Linked DNA regions of Callithrix jacchus. The protein of the gene in region 3 interacts with the protein of the main gene of each other region in a biochemical or structural test. Links are inferred from orthologs where the notes say so. Each region holds a gene or a part of one and is shown on either strand. Other genes may lie near its edges. The genes, in order: PKP4, CLDN1, PATJ, TANC1 and TJP3.

Region 1 (4,097 bases), on a different chromosome or scaffold from region 3:
ACATCAAGTCAAATAAGCACAGGTTAAGCATGGGTTAAACTCTGCTGTAATATGATATTGTTACATAATAAAAGTTTCCTGTTGGCATTTACAAACACCTCCCAATATCCTCCACATGCTAGTGGACACAAATTAAACCTCTAATTAGAAGATTCACTGATTATGCACATAGCTGAAAAACAACGTAGCAATCAAAAGATAAACCTTTCAGAGTGCAAAGTATTTTTTTTTTTTCTATTTTTTCCTTTCTGTTGAGTCCTTAACTAAAGGCTCCTATTTAATACTTTTCAATGTCCTTGATCTAGACAAAGTAGGTGTTGGAAGACAGCTGATTGGTCATACAACTGACTTATTTTACCGAAACTGCTACAAAATAACCAGGTGCAAAGAGATTTATCATAAATGCAACCTCCAAAGCAAATTGTATCAAATAAAAACACACATAGGATGCTTTTCAACACCCAGAAACACTTATTTCAGACATTAGTTGTTCTCATTCTCATGTTGCCATTTTCCATAACTGTTTCACAGACATCAAAACGAAGATACTCCTACAGCAATATACTGCATTCAAGAAGGGAAGCATTCTTCTACTTTCTCTTTTAAAATAAAAAGAATCTAAGCTCAATTCTAGCGAACCATTTTCTGTCAAAAATTTCCTTTCCTGTATTGAGAAAAACAAAATTTGACCAAAATGCATACTAACCATCATCGATTTTACACGTAAATAATTACTATTCTTTAAAAGTTGTAGGGCAGCATTTCTTTTAGTCAAACTCAGTAACAAAGAGAACTAAAACCTCCACTCATAAATTACATCTTGAAATACACATGATTGTGGTGTTCCCGTGTTACTTTCAATGGTAACTGACACACCCCGAATTTAACTGTACCAGACAGTTCTATCTGTCCCATCGCTGACCAAACACTGCTTCTCTGTTTCTATTCATTATGTATTATACGAGGTCTAAACAGCCCAGTATGACAAGGAAAAAAAATTACACTTCTTAGGACACCGAAGTGATGCATTCAAGATCTTTCTTGCAGTACATGGCCATCCATTAGCACAGTCATTTTCTGGTATAGCTAAAATATGTTGGCTGCAAGCTCATTACTCTCAAGAACCTTCAGGCCCCCTATTCCTGCTGGTTTTCAGAAAACCCTAGTAAAAACCAGGCACTATCTAATCCTTGCACACCAAACTTGCAAACAGGCTGTGCAATGATCAATAACCTTGGCTACACAGTCATCGGCCCCAAATTCACGGTCCTGAAGACCAATGCAGCAAAAACCCAGACGAAAGGCTAGCTGGAGCCCAAAAGAACTACCGTGCTTTCCCTCCGCCACCCTCTCTGCCGCAAGGAGGGAAGCAATGGGAGGAGAAGAGTGGAATGAGGCTCACCAGCTCTGAAGATGCTCCGGTGACCTCTGGCTGCGCGGCGAGAGCTGGGGAGGAAAGGCGCTAGTGTAGCCGCGGAGGGCCGTGTGGACTCAGCCCCTGGTGCATTCCTCGCATTCCTGCACAATCTGTCGCCAGCCCAGGAGCCGGCAGCGCGCGTCCCCCGCTGTACACACACACCTGACTACCGCTGCGCCCCGAGCGGCCACAGCCGCCGCGGCGCCTCCACTGCCTGCGCTCGCGGTTTGTCGCACTCAGCCAATACGCAGCCAAATCCCGGCCCCGCCGCTCGCTCTCCGGGTAGCGGTCCAGGGGAGAGGGCCGGCTGCCTCGGAGGCGGGCGGGGATACCAATCCACCAGGGGGGTGCCCCGGCTCCGCTTCAACTCCTGGCAGGGAGAGGAGGAAGAGGCGGCGCAGGAGGGCAGCGGCGAGGCTAGGGGCTGGGGATCCGAGAGGGGTGGAGCGTGAAAATCGGCGGCCAGCAGAGAGGGACGCACTGGGCAGAGGGGGTGGGCAGGACCGACTAGGAGTGCAGGACTTCGGGGGCAAACGCAAGAGCGCGCCGGCAGCATGGGCGTGGAAAGGCGGGAAAGGGGCCAAGGTACAGGATCTGGGGCTGGAAGGACAGACCGCTGGTCTCGAGGGCTGGGGAGGGCGGGCGCCCCGGGGTGTCGGGGGCGCAGGGCGGCACGCCGGGCGGGCGGCAGCGGGGAAGCCGCCGCGAGGGCGTCCAGCAGGGCTCCGCGCGGAGCTCAAGTTCGGGGCTGGGGGCTCCAAATCCGTAGAGCCCAGCGTGGAGAGGGGTCCTGCGCGGCTCGTAAGGGAGATCGAGGAGAGGAATCGCCGGAAAAAGCAAATGGAGGGTGAAACTTGTGTGCCTGCCGGGGGGAGGGGAGCAGCAGGCGAGTGCGGGCAGGAACACGAGGCGGGGCAGGAAAGCCGCCGAGGCGCTGGGGACGGGGCAGCGGGAGGGAGGCGCCGGCCTCCGGCGCGCAGGTCCCGGCCCCGGCGCATGTTCGGCAGGGCCGAGGGTCTCAACGGCAGGGGTCTCCGCGCCCTCCCGCGAGCCCACACACTTACTTTCCAGCTTAGGCAGCGGCCGTCGTCGCTCCAGGAATCACAGACATCGGCGCCGAGGGGTCGCCGCTGCGGCACCCGAAAAAAATTAAAAAAGTGCCGCGGCCGCGCGGCTGCCCGCCCCTCCCTCCCCCACCCGCCCCCTCCCCCGGAGCGGCTATCCCACCACCCCCGGCGGCGGCGGTGGCCAACTTGCCCCTCTACCCTTTGCCCATGGTGCCGCCTCCGCGGCCGGCGTCGACGCGGACTCAGTCCCGGAGCCCCCTCTACTGCCCAGAGGCCGCCGCCACCGCCGCCCGCCCCGCCGCCAGCCCGCCCGGCCAGACCCGGGCTCCCGGGAACGTCAGCACGCCGCCGTCCCCGGGCCTGCTTCCGCTACCCCATTGGCCAGAAGGAGAGGGCTGGTCCTCCCCATTGGCCCGGCCCTCATATTGAACGGACCAATAGGAGCTGCGGTTTCAGGTCGCCATAGAGACCGATGCTGTTCAGCGCGAGAGGGCCTGGAGAAGGTGGGTGTGAGGATGAGGGTGTCTCAAGTCGCGGGCGCGGGAGGGGGTGGCGGAGAGGAGGACAGGGAGATTCCCCAGTGCTGGCTCTGAAATCTGGGGCAGGTTTCACTTTGCCTTCCTGCCAGCCCCAACTGTGCCTGGAAGGGTTTGTCCCTGGCATCAAAGGTAGGAACAGCTGAGCCCTTAGACGTACCCCTGACAGTGAGAGCCAGGAGTGGGCGTTTCACTTTTCCTGCGTTTGGGGAGCCCCTGAGGCTAGGCTCTGACCTTTGACGTTTGTGCAGCTGCTGCTTCTCTAGGTGAGTTGCACCCCATCCCTTCCATCGCTCCTTCCTCCTGACGTCACTGAGCCACTTGAATCCTACTTGGGCTTGTTCTCCGCAACCACTCCCCCTTTCCTGTCTTGTTTCAACGTTTTGGGTCTTCAAACTCATATCCCTTCTCAAAGAAGACTCAAAGAGGATTTCCTTTGATGATATTTTGGTAAGGGAGAAGGTGACGGATTGTATGATAGATGCCAAAGCGTCACCACATAAGATAGCCTGTTCCCTGATTCTCAAAGCAAACCTCTAATCTTCCCGTGGGCAGATATCTATTAAACACATCTGTGTGTACATCCTGCACTACGAGCTTGACAGGTGCATGTTCTTTCACTTGAGGGGTTACAGGCTTGATAAAGAGACAGGAAACAGAAACAATCCTTTATGCCTTCTGATGATTTCACGAAAGAGTAAGAGAAATGGATTACAGTTGATGGATTTTGTTTTCTATTTTCCAGTTCTCTTTAAATTTGATATAGAAATCACCTGAGGCATGAAAATCAGTACACACAAAAATCTTGAGCTTTAATAATGTCTTCTACTTTCATTTAAAATAATCTTGTGCTAGTTTGTCAATACTAATTTTTTGTCAATAAATTTTATATTTAGATACCACCTTCTTAAAGTGAAATTTCATGAACATATTAGGCTTTAAAATATGATATTGCTCTAGCCTATAACCACCGATATTCTTATGTTCCTTTTTTTGGTCATTTTACTATTTTTCAACTAATCTTTTTAGTAAGGAGACTATGTACATATTACTGCACCTCACATTGGAGGGACCATG
Region 2 (4,190 bases), on a different chromosome or scaffold from region 3:
ATCAAGATATTTTAATACTTCCAGTGCTAAAGCCTTGATAAAACCCTGCATCTGTACTCTAAGACATCAAGTGTGCTCTACTGGGAAAGACAGCAAGGTACAATTCCAGGAAACCAACAGCTAAGCTTTTCACCTAAAGACACTCAAGGAAATGCAGCTTTTTTATGAGGGATACAGCTTAAATATGCACACATAACCCTTTTCCTCTCTAGATGTAACAAAACTATACCAAAAGCAGCCAATGAATCACCACCCTAGATCTCTACAGCTAGTGGGCGTGAACACCACTGCTCAGGCAGAGGAATGGAGAAAAGTTTCCTGGGCTCCATCCAAAAGCATCCAGTGAGTCATGGCAGGTTAGGAGAGAGAACCTGTGAGTCAAGGGTCTCTCTTCCGAGAATTGGTTTTGAGAGAAAAGCCTAAGCCACACCTTGGATAAATTATGGCTTTCAGTAAAACAAAAGTGGATTCTGATCTGGAATTTAAAAAAAAAAAAAGGAAGACATCTCTAAATTGTGTGTGTGGGGGGATAGATATTTAGTCCTTTCACCACAGTTTTAAAAACTTTAATAACTATATTATCCAAAAAATGAAAGCAAAATGTTTTAACACATTATCATGTAAGGATGATCCATTTGAATACTTACAACATGGATCAATCTGATTTCATTTGTTTATTTAAGGAAGTTAAAGGAAAACCTATTTTAAGATGTCAAAAATGGACTATTTTGACCAGAGCAATGAAACTGAGAGTGAGACCTCTCTGGAATTGTTCTTAGAAACTTCTCCAGCCTCCAATTCCTTCATGTGGTACCTAAAATGCCCGACACCATTTCCTTAAATATACTTATCTTTCCATGGAGAAATTCAATAATTATTGCCAAATTTTTCACTTTATAAATACAAATACAACCTATGAGGGCAATAAGCAACACATAATTACCAAAATTATAGATTGGTTTTGGTTTAAAGAAGTCCTAATATGGAAACCTTCAAAAGCTGAAATAACACTCAAAACGACCATGCACATTGAGCAAATGCCACAGGTACTCAAGGTGTTTAAACAGATTTGGAACAGGCTTAATAACTAAACTATACAGCTTTTGACATACCCTATTAAAAGTTGTTCTTTGATAGGAGGTGAACAAAACAAGTTAAGTAAACTTGAACAATGGCAACACTTCTTACCCTTAGCACTCCATGGGGGCCAGTGGGCAGTCATGTTTATCTAGGCAAAGACTGAGGGACCTTTTCTTCAAGTTAGTTGAAGGGAATAACAAACATATGATATAAGACAATTAATGTGATTTCTCAAGGAAGATACTCCAGCAGTGAATCATTATTACCTAAGTAAATGGGTATTTAACGATTTTTCTGACAATACACTCAAAACCTTTAATTTAAAAAACATATGTAAAAACAAAGATCCTATTATCCTTCTTCCACCATGCTTAGAAATATGTCTCTCTATACAGTCCTTTCCAACTTGACAAGGGGTCACTGAACATCCATGGCACAGAAATTCCTTTGTGGAAGATGGAAACCTGAAAGACGCACCTCTTCTTTCTTTCTCACTGCCTCCTGCTCCCAGCTGACCTCTCATTTCATCAGCTGTGACTATTTTGCTGCATTTCCCTTCAGTGTCTTTACTTTCCCCTTTGTATTATGTTGGGCAGGTTATTTCGAACCTTTCTTGTCTGGCTTCTGCCACCTGCCACCAACCTTTTCATTCCAAGATAGCACTACACAATCAGACTCTACTGAAGACGTTGGGTCTAAAAGTTAAAACTTTGTGGGAAACTCAAGTGGCTTCTCCAAGGAGTCTTGCAAGAGGCCTCGCTGCACTAACTGAATCTTAAAAATGGAAAGAATCAACCTGAAGTATGAGTAGCAGACACTTAGATAGGATATTTCAAGTAGGGATGTAACTTTTGCTATGAAAAATCATAGTAAAGATTAAAAAATCGATCTAATACTTGAGGATTTTTAAGCTTGCACACCTGAGTAGTTACCAGGAGCATGTCTAGGAGAGGCCTAAGAGCTCAAGTTCAAGTCTGGCCTTCACTCTCTCAATCTCGACCCACCAGCATAGGAATTTCAGATGAAGCCACACCTAGTGTGGCAGAAAAGTGCCACCTAGGGAGTTAGAGGCAACACTAGAGCTTATGCCTGGGCATCCCTTGTCTCAAACCAGGATTCGCATTTGCTTATGACAGAGCACGTCATCAGAAGACTTGATCAACTCCAGACTGATAACCATGTAATCACACGACAGAATGAGCCCATAAGGGAACGGCAGGGGGACTGGGGCCTCTGGACGGCGGCTGTGAGGTGGGGGTGCACTCACTGTTCAGATTCAGCAAGGAGTCAAAGACTTTGCACTGGATCTGCCCGGTACTCTGCGACACGCAGGACATCCACAGCCCCTCGTACATGGCCTGGGCGGTCACGATGTTGTCTCCGGCATAGGAGTAAATCCTCCACTGGGGCAGGGCAGTGCTGACGATGGCGCCGATCCATCCCAGGAAGGCGAGAATGAAGCCTAGCAGCTGCAGCCCCGCGTTGGCCATGACTCGCTCGGGCGCCCGCGCTGGCTCGGGGTGGCAGGTGCAGAAGGCGGAGAGTTTGCAGGTGCGCAACGCGAACTCCCGAAGGTGACCCGGCCCCGCGGAGGAAGTTAAGGCGGGGAGTCCAGCTCGCTGCGCAGCCGCTGGAGAAGCTCTGGGTCCGGGTCGGGGTCCGGGTCCGGGGCGGCGCTGGAGTCTGGGTACTAGAAGCTGCGGTTGCTCCCGAGCTCAGGAACTGAGACGCCAAACCGCTGGGCGCCGCGATTTAAATCAGCTCCGCCCGCCTCAGCCCTGCAGCCGGGGAGCGCCCCCTGGCGGTTTCGGGGCGGCTCACCGGGAGGGGGCGGGGGGAACGCGCTGCGGGCGGTGTGGGGACCTCCCCGCAGGACCAGGCACCAGAGCTGCGTCGCTGCTCCTTTCTCTCGTGGATCTCCTCGCTCCTGTCAGGAGTTTCACGCTTTTCATTCACTCACTCCAATCATCCAAAAATTACTATGCACTGTACCTGTAAATCCTAAAAACAACGATGAAGAAATGAGCCCTCAAGAGCTGCGGTTTTAGCTTTAATACTTTTTCCCAATATCTTATTGAAAGACATGTCTACCCAACTCCGCATCTCCTCCCGCATCTCACATACATTTCTCTCTCCTTTGCTCAGCTTCCTCCCCTTTCTCCTTTCCCCTGCCCCCTTCTGTCAAGCTCTTTCCATCACTTGTCTCTCCGACGGCCCCCAGAGATCTATACACTCTACAGATTGGGAAGCTGAGACCCAGAGAGCAACATGATCCACGCGCGCGCGCGCACACACACACACACGAGCATATCAGTACTTGGCTCCCCTCCCAATCTGCTTTCCACCACATACCAAATTGACCCAAAAATATGCCCTTTGATCTGTGATTGTCCTTTTGATGTATTATTGCCCTTACGAAAATGCAGCCTAGCAGCCCTCGCCTGCCAAACACCAACCTCTTCCCCACAGCAGTTATGTCTTATAGCAGCAATTCATTATCAGAGGGACTTGGCCAGTGGTCCGCTCTCCCTCAAAGGTGTTAATTTTGTGAATTACCAAATGTTGTTTGTCACAGGTGAGGGCATGTAAACAGTGCTTCCCCAGTGGAGAAAAGACTGCGCTGGAGTTTAGGAGGGCCGGGCTTTTAGGAAGTTCTGGCTTTCACTGCAACTGGGTATGCCACCCCTCCCTTTTTGGTCTCTCTGGGATGTTTGTTTTCCTCTAGGGTCTCTAAAGCTTCCTTCTTTGCAGTTAGTCAGAAGTGCTGCTGTGGTTGGGAATAATTGAAATGTTTTTCCAACTGCTTTTTGTGTGTGGTGCGAGTGTGGTGGGAGGGGAAGCTTCTGTGGTTTTAGTAAAAGCAGAAGATCCTTAGAGGCAGAGATAAACATATGAAGGAGAAAAAAAGATCCACCCTTGTATACCATGGGCAGCTGCTAGTTAGTGACAGAGAAGGAAAAGCGCGAATGCTCAAGATGGGAATGGGAGGCAAGGCCAAGCCCTCCTGTCATTTCCACCTGGCGCTCTCTGGATGCCTTTTGGGACAGCTTATAGCTAAAGAACTTGGCCATACTAGGATTTGGGGACAAGCAATGAAGAATGTAAGACAG
Region 3 (4,013 bases):
AGTCAGAAGCCAGGGTAAAACAATCTAGGACTTGTGACTGGCATCAGAAGTGGGACCAGTCTTAATGGGATCTGACACTATCCCCAGGTAGATAGTGTCAGAATCGAACTGGAAGATGCTCAGCTATTGTTCGATGCAGAACTGATTGGCCCACACATTTATTTGATCACAGAAGTCTTCAGTGTTGATTGTGATGGCGTGAGAGCAGAGGAAAAAGTTTTCTTTTCTTCTTACCCCTAATAGGATCTGGACTAGTAAGGGCAAATCTCTTCAGAACTCATTTTATAAGTTCTGTCCATAAGTATCTTCCACTTCCATATTTATTAACTTTCTTATTATCTTTGTGAAAGTTACAGACACCAGGACAAAATCACTTTTTGTCACACCCAAACAAACTAGAGACGGAGAAAGTGAGGGATAAGGCTCATGCTTGCATGTCTGAGATAAAGATCTCTCAAGAACTTTAAAATAACTCCACAAGAAATTCTTTCTTTAGGAATGCAGTAATTCAGATAAGATAAGATAATCTTTTTCTTTTCTTTTCTTTTCTTTTTTTTTTTTTTTTTGAGACAGGGTTCTTGCTCTGTCACCCAGGCTGGAGTGTGGTGGTACAACCACAGCTCACTGCAGCCTCCATCTCCTGGGCTCAAGCAATCCTCCTGCCTCAACCTCCTGACATACCTGGCCATTGAAAAAGTGTTTTCTGTCAAGGCAGCCATGTTGCACAGGCTGGTCTCCAACTCTTGGTCTCAAGGGATCCTCCTGCCTAAGCCTCCTAAGTAGCTGAGATAACAGGCATGAGGCAGGGCACCAGAACTGTTAAGACACTCTCCATAACACCTGCCCAGTAATGGCATCTTCACCAATGGTCAACTATGGCTTTGAGTCTCTAAAACCAATAAATGGTTGTGCATCTCAGGCTATAATTCTCATTTCTCATTCACAAATAAATTCAACATATTTGGAGTGTTCTGTTGTTGTTTGTTAACATCTTAAAGGCCATTCGGGACCCTAAAAAAATCAAAGCTCACTTTAGCTAAAAGGCTCAATCTCACCTAACATTTTTCTAATGCTGCAAACAGAGTTAAGTTTGTTTTGTTTGTTCTTGCTGCCCAGGCTGGAGGGCAGTGGCGGGATCTTGGCTCACTGCAACCTCCGCCTCCAGGGTTCAGCGATTCTCCTGCATCAGCCTCCAGAGTAGCTGGGACTACAGATACGCACCACGCCCAGCTAATTTTTGTATTTTTAGTAGAGACAGGGTTTGTGTTGGCCAAGATGTTCTCGATATCCTGACCTTGTGATCTGCCCGCCTCTGACTTCCAAAGTGCTGGAATTACAGGCTTGAGCCACCGCACAGGGCCTGTTGCTGTTTTTTGAGATGGAGTTTCTCTCTGGTCGCCCAGACTGGAGTGTAATGGAGCAATCTCAGCTCACCACAACCTCAGCCTCCTGCCTCAGCCTGCCGAGTAGCTGAGATTACGGGCGCCCACCAACACGCCCAGCTAATTTTTGTACTTTTAGTAGAGACAGGGTATCACCATAGTGGCCAGGCTACTCTGGAACTCTTGACCTCAGGTGATCCACCAGCCTCAGCCTTCCAAAGTGTTGGGATTCCAGGCGTGAAGATTTACGTTTTTAACTGCTGACCCCACCCCCACTCCTTTCAGATAGATGTGTGCAAATTAATTGGCAGCCACTAGGAACTCAGCCCAAAATGTGGTAGTATCATCCTCAGTGGAACGGACATAGTCCTTCTGGGTTTCCAAAGGCTTCTTCATTCACTTAAGAAACACTTGTCGAGCACTTACCAATAGCGAGACCCTAAATGCAGTCGAGAAATAAGGCCCAGAAGGGGGCACCCTCCAAATGGCAGAGGCGAGCCAACAAACAACAAACTCGAATCCAAAGTGACAAGAGCCACCTGGAAATATGACAAAGTGCCAGGTGAAGGGTGTTTGTTCACTTAATTTGGCCGGTGTACGGGATGGATGGGGCGATTTGGAGGTTGGGAGTCATCTGAAAATGCTTTCCTGAGCTTGATTTAAAAGCAGGAATCCAAGAATTCCCCTAAGGCCGGAAGCACTTTCCAACACAACCTCCCCATCTACGTAGCAGGGCTGGCAGAGCCCAGGGCTTGAGCACTGGCTTTGGGGAACCTCCAAGGCCCGGCCCAAGTCGCCCCCTCAGCCCGGCTCTGAGCACCCCCTCCTCTTTGTCCCCTCACCCCCGTTCCTTCCTTCCACGGCCACCAATGGAGGGAAAGACTCCGCCCAGCTCTGGGAGCGAAACACAGGCACCGATCTGGGCGCAAAATCGGATCCGCGCCACCCCCGAACACCAGTGGGCCGAGATTCGAGGCCCGAAAGGCCTGGGGAGGCGGGGCGGGCGGGGCGGCGCGGCGGGGCCCCTACCCGCGGCCTCAGCGAGCCCAGCGCGGCAGGACTGGGGTCACCCGGGCCCGACGCAGGAGGAAGGCACCCCCGCCCCGCCTCCCGGGCCAGTGCGGACGCACGCTGCGAACGCCCCATCCCCTCCGAGGGACCTCCGAGCGCCCAGCGGCGCCCTCCCCCTCCGGCTCCCACCCGCTCCAGCGGGCGGGCGGAGAGCGCGCGGGGGCAGGGCAGGCAGGCCGGGGAAGCCCACTAGGAAGCTGGCCCCCGCTGGCCTCTAGGCGCGGGGATCCCCAGGGACAAGCGCGCACCGCACAGCCGGGACCCCACGCTTTACCTGGTGTGCCGGAGGAGCAGGTGGGAGCCCCGACCCAGCCGGCTCGGTGTCGGCCGTACCTCACCTGGGCGGAAGTGAGAGGCCCAGGGTGACCGCGCCTCACCTGGCAGGCCCTCCCCTCGCCCCGACTCTCCCCGCCCGGGGCGGGGCGCCGGGGTGGCGCGGGGGGCGGGCGAGGGAGCCGGGGGCCGCGGGAGGCAGGCTGCAGCCGGGAGGGCGGTTGCCCTAGCTGTTTAGTGCAGGTGAATTCCGACCCGGCGCGGGATGGCCAAGGGCCTGAGAAGAGTGGGCTATGGGGGCCAGGTGGGCGGATGAGACCCCGCGTGGTAGGGGCAGCTGGCACTGACAGGAAGGGAAATCCGGACCGACCGGTGTGGTTGGAGGCATGCTTGGAAAGCGAGACCCAAGATCAAGGAAATTGAGGAGTATATCGATGAAAGCGTTGGGTCAATCTGCTTAGCACTTGCCTTTTTGCTCTTTCCTGTTCCCTCATCCCTCCTTTGTTTTCTATATCCGCTGACACAAAATAAAATATTCTAAAACGTGTAAATGTGGGAGCATTATTTTCTTCTCCTTTAGTGGAAGAAAGAAACACATCCAGCAGTATTTGCCTGCCCTGTGCTGGCTGCTAGATTATACCTTATTATCTCATTTACTCTCTGAAGAAACTGATGAGGAAACCGTGCACCAGGTAGGTTGGGCCAAAGTTTGGAACACAGGCAAGGCATTTTGACTTTAACTACAGTGACGATTTCACTATACATTAATTTTTTTTATTTGTGATGTCACAGCTTCGAGAAAAATATGCCCCGATGGTATTCTTCTACTCCCTTTAATAACTTTAGACTTTTTTTTTAATTTTTTTTTTTTTTAAAGACGGGTTTTCACCGTATTGGTCAGGCTGGTCTTGAACTCCGACCTCAGGTGACTCTCCCGCCTTGGCCTCCAAAGTGCTTGCATTACAGGCCTGAGCCACCAAGCCTGGCCAACTTTAGACTTTTGATGATAGGGGTTTCTAATACAGTCCACATATTAACAATAAAGAGAATCAATCTTCAGGTATCTTATAGAGTACATACAGTAATAGTTAAACACTGTGGTTGACTCTGGGAAGATGTGTAAAATGGCATCCCTGTTCCCAGGAAGATGAGGAATAGGTACAAAACAACTGCAACATAAAGACTTAAAATCATACACTTGGGAGCTGGGCACGGTGGCTCAAGCCTGTAATCCCAGCACTTTGGGAGGCCGAGGCGGGTGGATCACGAGATCAAGAGATCGAGATC
Region 4 (3,950 bases), on a different chromosome or scaffold from region 3:
TAACAGAAGTTAAACTATCATAAAGATAAAATTAAAGCCATTTATTTTTCTAGGAGACTCTTGACCCAACTGAGACAAAATGTTTACAATTGGGTTAAAAATGTCTAATGGGAACATTGACATAAAGTTAACCTCCAGCTATGCTGGCAGGAGTCATTATAATATGGATTATCATTCAATTGGCCAAGGGATGCTGGTTTTAATGTTCCCAGAGAGATAAAGGATTAATCAGCAACTCAGAAGAGAATGTTGCCTAAAAATGGACAATTTAATTCAGACAGCTTCATTGTCTCTAAAATTATGCCCTCAATCACCCAGAGTCAAAAACTACTATGGCCCCAAATAAATTCTGTGTGGTTAAAGAGACAAAATGTTCTTTTTTCTACAGACTGTTATGAGAAGCAGAAAAAAGCTGACTATGAATCAGTTATGTCTTAGATCAAGGATGGGTATAAATTATGATAATTTGGGCATTCTGGTGGTTAAACCAAGAAAGCAGGAAAACCATTGCTTCCAAGTTCTAGCAACGCTTCAAACCAAAGGCTTGGTGCCAAAAAGTTAAGTTTGGGGCACCAAAGTGCAAGACAGGGTCAAAAAAAGGCACCTTAAATTTATTTGTGGACTTTTCCTGCCTCCACTAAAATCGATGACACTATTTCCCATCTCCTATTGTCAAATCACAACAGTCCGGAAGCCTGGACCAAGTTCACTTGACAGGTAACAGGAACACCCCTAGGAGGAAGTCCTGAAGGATATCAGATATCATACTTCCTTTACTGCCATTTACTTTTCATTTCAGAACCACCAGGATATATTTATGATCCTTTTTGACTGATACACACCAAGCATTCCGGCTGATATAAACTGCAGAAACTGGCATACTCTAGGGAAGGTCCCTTGTGAGGTCTTTAAGAAGCTTAGATAAGTAAAACATTCAGACTACTTCTACAATGAACACCTCTCAGCCGCTCATAAATTCTTTCATTCCCAGCAATCAAGAAGCAGCTGTTAAAATCCTGGAATCTTCCTAGCAGCAGATACGAAATACCTCCAGGCTGACCCGAGAAGCTTCACAACTGCTTTCTTCTCCTTCCCCTCCCCTGCCCCAGGAGTGCCAGCCTGGCAGGAATAAAGATGACCCAGGAAGGAAAAAAAGAGAGTAGCGGATCTGGTGAAAGCAGAGACGCAGACTCCCTTCATTTCCACTACAGAGAAATATCAACTCTCTGTGCCAACTAACCAGGTTTCTTCTTTACTCTCGCACCCCCACCCCTCCAAACACGCGTTAACTTCTGCAGTCTGGTACGTCTGGCATTTCCAGGGAAAACGATCTCAGCACTCCTGAGCCCTTTCCTCAAGATTCTGAACCAGGAACTTCCTTTCCGCGCCAGCCAGAGTTTGAGGTCCAACCCACGTCAAGACTCAGCTTCCATTTACCGTGTAATCTGTACGGACAACGCCGATTCTGGGGTCAAGTTCAAGATGAAGGTGCCCTCCTCATCTCCCACGTTAACTCCAGCAGGGAACAATGCCACTGAGAACGGTCCCAACACTAGAGGCACCGGGATCTGGGGCTGCCAGGAGCGGGCCGGAGGGGGCTGGGAGAAGGCTGTCGCCGAGCCCGGCGTCCTCCGCCCCTTGGCCGCATCGCCGGGTTTCTACCTGGCCAACGCCACATTTCCTCCCAGAGCTTTACACAATAAGTCCACTAAGTTTTAAGAACGCCGGTCCAGGGACCTTTCTGTCTGCAAACACGCCACACAATGCTTACAGCTTCCTTCCCAGCCAGCGTTCCGGAAAGCCGCCGCGCCGAAGCCTGGAGCCGAGCGCACACAGCGCCGCGCGCCCGCACCCTAAAGTCCTCCAGGAAGCGAGCGCCCCGATATCGTCCCCCTAAAATGACCACTCTGCATCCAAGAACAAGCGGGCTCATAATCTTGACCATTCTCGCTTTCCTCAGCGCCCCATCCCCAAAGAAAACCCTCAATGTCTAATCCTAACTCACCCCCACCCCCAATAAAGGAGTGTGGATACCGTCATCTCAGTGTTCCTGGAAGCAAAGCAGCAGATTTTCAGCCCTGACTGGGGCAATACGATGCCCCCGGCTTAAGTTCTCTCGGCAACTTCGCGACTGGCGCACCCCAACACTCCGAGGAGCGCCCAGGACCCTGCGGTGCCCAGCGCACCTCCCCTCCCGCCTCCCCCCGCACCAGGTACCAGGCATAGACCAGGCCCTTGCCAAGCCCAAAGGCTACAGAGAAGGCGGGAAAGGGGGTGAGCAGGCGCGCCGAGCGGGGGTGGTACCAAAACTCGAGCGTGCCCCGAGCGTTCCCTGCTCCCCCTACCCCGGTTCCACTGGAGGCCGGCTCGGTCCGGCGCAAGGGGGAGGGGGGGACCGCGCAGGGAAGGTGAGGACTCTCCAGAGACCAAGGCCCGGGGCGCCCAACATGTCTGTGCCTATCCCCGGAAAGCTCCCGGGTGTGCCCGGCGGAGGAGGGGGCGCTCCAGAAACTTTCCCACACGCCTTTCCTTCTCCCATCACCCTCTCCTCCGCGGTACCCTCTTCTCTCCTCACCCACGCAGCTGGCCCTGCCCGGGGCGTTCGGAAGCCCGCCGCGGCGCGCGGACGGCGGTAGTTACCTGCCGGGAAAGTTTCCAGCTCCTTGGCGCGCTTCCCCACTCCCAGGGCCGGGCCTCGGGGCGCGGTCAGCTCGGCGTTCCGCGGCTGCCTCTCCTCTGGCTACCGAGGCGCCCGCCGCTCCCGCAGCTGCCACAGCAAAGCCTGTGCTCCGGCCCGTCCCCCAGCCTCGCTCGGCCCACACCGGGGCCTCATTGGCAGCGCGAATCTCCGCCCTTGCGCGTGTTCCCGAAGGCACCTTCCTCTCGCGCGCCCGCCCCGGCCGCGCCTCCCGCGCCCCTCCCCGCCCCGGCCTGCGGCGGTTCCAAGGAGCCGCTGGGGAGCGGCGCGCGAACTTTCCGCGGGTCTCCGGCGTTGGGCCCCCTTGTTCCGCCTCTCAGCACTTCGTCCCGGCCGGAGGCTCCCTACCGTCCCTCGGGGCAGCGGGTCCCCCGGGGCTGAGCCTGGACCCCTCCGGGACCGTAATGAGATGGGCAATAGTCTTTTTTACCGCTTCTTCAAAATCAGTAAAGCGACCCAGCCTTGCCTCCTCGCTGCTTTTTTACCACAGCGGAGGAGGACGTATGGGAGCAATTAACCGAGTTGGGAGTTTCCTTGGACGCTTTAGGGTGGCTTGTGCTGCTTTCTTGGATTTTCTCTGCCTCACTTAACTAAACACAAACACACTTTCTGGGGCCAGAATGAGCTAAATGAGCTGGAAGGTCTAAGAAGGCATCTCTCTGGCTGCGTCTTTTTCTTTCCCGAAGGCTAATGGGGGGGCGTTCTGGAACCGGTAATTTCCCCGGCGTCTCTGGGGCCCGGGGTCTGGAGCTTCCTGCGACCGCTCTGGGCTGACCCGTGCGGTCTGCGCTCCATCCACAGAGGGCCAGCGTCATGCTTCTGTCGGAAGGAGGTGGGAGGGACGGAGGGGAGAGAACACACAAAGATGCTATTATTTTGTCGGTTGGTGGCAGTAAATTAAACTCCTGAGTTCCCCAAATGTTTTGTTATTCTCCAGCGGAGCAAAAACCAGGATAGATCCCAGGGATTCGAGTGTCCTGGGTTCTCCAGGATTCTCCCAGGAATCCCAGGCAGCTAAATTGGCCTAGAGGACTCAGCCCACTTCATACCCGAAGCTCTCTCAGCCACCCTTCGTTGATCTAGTTGATCAAGGAAGGATAAACTAGAACTATCGCTGCCTTGTGTGGCCAGCGGGAATTGTGCACGGGTCGCCCCACAGGTGTGTTGGAGCAGAGAACAGAGAAGTTGCTATAAACTGATTTATTGGCAACCCCTAACCTTGCTGTGGCAAACCCGCCTTTAAATACGATTG
Region 5 (3,511 bases), on a different chromosome or scaffold from region 3:
AGCTTGCTGCTCCCACCCCGCTTCTGTGGCTTTATTTTGAAAATCTGCTGCACCTGGGTTGCTTTTCCGTTGCTGTTGTGGATGTTTTCTTTCCAGATGGAGTCTCGCCTCGCTCTGTCACCCGGGCTGGAGTGCAGTGGCGCAGACTCGGCTCACTGCAACCTCCCCGTCCTGGGTTCAAGCAATTCTCCTGCCTCAGCCTCCTGAGTAGCTGGGACTACAGGCACGCGCCACCACACACGGCTAATTTTTTTGTATTTTTAGTAGAGACGGGGTTTCACCATGATGGCCAGGCTGGTCTCGAACTCCTGACCTCAGGTGATCCGCCCGCCTCCTCCTCCCAAAGCGCTGGGATTGCAGGCATCAGCCACCACGACCAGCCAAAGAAGGTAAATTATTAAAAGACTGTTACCGCTATTGCTTTTTCCTTTCTAAAGGCTATATACGTGCCTTGAATCTTATTTCTGTGGAGACAAATTTATTTTTTTTTTTTTGAGATGGAGTTTCACTCTTGTTGCCCAGGCTGGAGTGCAATGGCGCGATCTCGGCTAACCGCAACCTCCGCCTCCTGGGTTCAGGCAATTCTCCTGCCTCAGCCTCCTGAGTAGCTGGAAATACAGGCACGTGCCACCGTGCCCAGCTAATTTTTTGTATTTTTAGTAGAGACGGGGTTTCACCATGTTGCCCAGGATGGTCTCGATCTCTTGACCTCGTGATCCACCCGCCTCGGCCTCCCAAAGTGCTGGGATTACAGGCTTGAGCCACCATGCCCGGCCCACAAGTAGATTTTTAAGGAGTGAAACCCCTTCCTGTCTCCTTCTGTCCCCTAAAATAACCCAAAAGTTTTCTGCTTTTTTTGTTTGTTTGTTTGTTTGTTTGACGTGGAGTTTTGCTCTTGTTGCCCAGGCTGGAGTGCAATGGCACGATCTCAGCTCACCGCAACCTCCGCCTCCTGGGTTTAACTGATTCTTCTGCCTCAGCCTCCTGAGTAGCTGGGATGACAGGCACCGGCCACTAGCTCATTTTTTGTATTTTTAGCAGAGATGGGGTTTCACCATGGGGGCCAGGCTGGTCTCACACTCCTGACCTCAGGAGATCCGCCCACCTCGGCCTCCCAAACCGTTGAGATTTCAAGTGTGAGCCACTGTGCCTGGCCCCAGAGTAGTAGTTTTGATAGAAGGAGAGTGGTTAGAAATTCCTTCTCTTTCTCTTCCTTTCTTTTTCCTTCTTTCTTTTCTTTCCTTCCTTTTCTCCTTCCTTCCCTCCCTCCTTCCCTCTCTCCCTCCCTTCTTTTCTTTCTCTCTCTGTCTGTCTCTCTTTCTGTCCTTCTCTTTCTTTTCTTTGTCAATCTGTGGCCCAGGCTGGAATGTAGTCACGCAGTCACAGCTCACTGTAGCCTCACCCTCCTGGCTCAGGCGATCTTCCTGCCTCAGCCTCCTGAGCGGCCGGGATAGCTGGGACTGCAGGGAGGCCCCACCACGCCCAGCTGTCTTTATAAATGTGATGGAGAGATGCAGTCTTGCTTTAGGGCCCAGGCTACTCTGGAACTCCTGGTCTCAGTGATCCTCCTTCCTCAGCCTCCCAAAGTGTTAGGATTATAGGCGTGAGCCTCCACTCTACAAGACTGCCTTTTAGAGGCCGGATGCTGGTGAACAGGTGCGCCACTGCCTCTGCGTGGAACCTTCCCAGGGCCCCCTCCCGCCCGGGCCCCACCTTCTCGAAGTACCACTCGTTCATAGGGCGGGTAGTGGCCCTGGCGGGTCAGGGCTGAGAGGTCCTCGCGGCTCCGCTGAGTGGTCTTCTTGGCCCCTCGACGGAGGCCCCGCAGCCGCCAGAACTCGGCCCGAGCATTGGAGCCCGCGGAGGAACCGGGCCCGGCTCCCACGGCCCTCTGGGCAGCTTCCAGGCTGGCCAGCTGCTCCGCCCTGTGGAGAAGAGGGGACAGTGCTGGGCACTGGGGTCAGCAGCACGATGGCCCCAAAGACGTCCTCATCCCCCCGGGAACCTGTGGACTGGCTACTTCATATGGCAAAAGGGACTTCGCAGATGAGATTATTATTTTATTATTATTTATTTTGGTTTTTTTGAGACAAAGTCTTGCTCTGTTACCCAGGCTGGAGTGCAGTGGCACAATCTCAGCTCACCGCAACCTCCGCCTCCTGGGTTCAAGTGATTCTCCTGCCTCAGCCTCCCGAGAAGCTGGGATTACAGGCGTGAGCTGCTGTGCCCGGCCCTTGTTTCTGGGCTTCTGTTACAGCAGAACAGGAAGCTCATACCAGCATCAACCAACTGGGTCCCACCCCGTGCCTTTTGTGGATGTCCTCAGAGTGAGCCAGCCACACTGCTCAGCAGGGCCAGCGTGCCCGTTTCTAACGGGGAGGCTGAGGCAGAGGCGGGAAGGTCCCCACCTGCTCTGGTTGGGAATGATGCCCCGCTCTTGCTCCCGCAGGTCACGACCCATGCGCACCGCCAGCCAGTGGCCTCCTCGCGCGTGGCTCTGCCCGGGGCCCGGGTACAGTGTGTCCAGCACGTGGAAGACGTCACCACGGGTGAAGCCCAGGCCGGACGGCGGGCTGGGCTCCAGCTCAAAGTGCGTGCGGATGTAGAAGGAGTCGCCCACGCGGGACTGCACCATTTTCCAGAAGACTGGGGAGAGGAGGCGGCCACGTGAGCTGTCTGGCTGCTGCCTGCTCATAGCCCTCCCCGCACAGTAGGCCTGGAGGGAGGGACCCTGCCCTGGGGAGACTTGGGACACTCTCCCTGCAGTGGTCAGGAGAGGGATGGACGGTGCAGAGATGCAGCTTTGATCGCACTCCGCTCACCATCAGGCCACACAGCCAGGGCTGCCCCAGCACACAGGCACACGCGCATCCACGCGCACTCACTGTCCTGCTTCCGCTGTGTCAGCAGCTCCATCTCCTCGCCTGGTGGCAGCGCCAGCAGGAACTGCACCGCCTCCTCCCGGGTCAGGTTCTGGAACGGCACGTCATTCACCTGCCGGGAAGCAGGGACAGCTGTACGCTGAGGCTCCGGTACCTCCTGGCTGTGCATGAGAGCCTAGACCTTCCTCTGGGCAAAACCCAGCCCCGGCTGCTTCCAGAGCTGCCATGGGCCCCGGAAGTTCCGGGAGGGTTTTCTGATGGGGGCATCACCCTGTGGCTGTGTGACATGTGACACAGCTGGTGGCATTATAAAGATACAGGGGGTTTTGACCTAGAAACGGGGGCACAGGCACTGCGCTGGCCTCTGGTAATCAAGTCTTTGTAGGTTGTTGATATCAAAATATGGGAACAGGTGTCATGGCATGCGGCTCGGTGGAGATTGTGTGAAGTGCTCGAAAGAGTTCAGACATAGTCACAGGGTCGTGACAGGGAAATACATAGGGACAAGGTGGGTGACAGATGCCTGCCATCAGGTCATGACAGGGACAATATAGGGATGCAGCCACCTCTCAGTGTCACAACAGGGACAGCCATATACAGACACAGCCACCTGCTCTCAGCGTCACGAC

What was found.
Region 1: the proteins of PATJ (region 3) and PKP4 interact in a test that uses a peptide from one of them, tested with the Homo sapiens proteins (2 studies listed by IntAct, with this or other methods). The link is inferred for Callithrix jacchus from reciprocal best matches to the Homo sapiens genes PATJ and PKP4.
Region 2: the proteins of PATJ (region 3) and CLDN1 form a complex in vitro, tested with the Homo sapiens proteins (2 studies listed by BioGRID and IntAct, with this or other methods). The link is inferred for Callithrix jacchus from reciprocal best matches to the Homo sapiens genes PATJ and CLDN1.
Region 4: the proteins of PATJ (region 3) and TANC1 interact in a test that uses a peptide from one of them, tested with the Homo sapiens proteins (2 studies listed by IntAct, with this or other methods). The link is inferred for Callithrix jacchus from reciprocal best matches to the Homo sapiens genes PATJ and TANC1.
Region 5: the proteins of PATJ (region 3) and TJP3 form a complex in vitro, tested with the Homo sapiens proteins (2 studies listed by BioGRID and IntAct, with this or other methods). The link is inferred for Callithrix jacchus from reciprocal best matches to the Homo sapiens genes PATJ and TJP3.

Annotation. Positions count from the first base shown.
Region 1 is NC_133507.1:71,436,692-71,440,788, forward strand, and holds the start of PKP4 (plakophilin-4), read right to left. Parts: upstream 2,803-4,097; 5' UTR 2,482-2,802; intron 2,003-2,481; exon of another isoform or gene 1,866-2,002; intron 1,812-1,865; exon of another isoform or gene 1,403-1,811; intron 1-1,402. Other genes in the region: CCDC148 (coiled-coil domain-containing protein 148), read left to right, coding at 2,957-2,987, 3,272-3,286. UniProt on the Homo sapiens protein: Plays a role as a regulator of Rho activity during cytokinesis. May play a role in junctional plaques.
Region 2 is NC_133516.1:19,268,498-19,272,687, forward strand, and holds the start of CLDN1 (claudin-1), read right to left. Parts: upstream 2,810-4,190; 5' UTR 2,571-2,809; coding exon 2,348-2,570; intron 1-2,347.
Region 3 is NC_133508.1:98,823,895-98,827,907, reverse strand, and holds the start of PATJ (inaD-like protein), read right to left. Parts: upstream 2,804-4,013; 5' UTR 2,728-2,803; intron 1-2,727.
Region 4 is NC_133507.1:70,955,626-70,959,575, forward strand, and holds the start of TANC1 (protein TANC1), read right to left. Parts: upstream 2,804-3,950; 5' UTR 2,641-2,803; intron 2,256-2,640; exon of another isoform or gene 2,035-2,255; intron 1,835-2,034; exon of another isoform or gene 1,438-1,834; intron 1-1,437. UniProt on the Homo sapiens protein: May be a scaffold component in the postsynaptic density.
Region 5 is NC_133523.1:3,510,177-3,513,687, reverse strand, and holds part of TJP3 (tight junction protein ZO-3), read right to left. Parts: intron 2,995-3,511; coding exon 2,886-2,994; intron 2,647-2,885; coding exon 2,409-2,646; intron 1,926-2,408; coding exon 1,714-1,925; intron 1-1,713. UniProt on the Homo sapiens protein: TJP1, TJP2, and TJP3 are closely related scaffolding proteins that link tight junction (TJ) transmembrane proteins such as claudins, junctional adhesion molecules, and occludin to the actin cytoskeleton.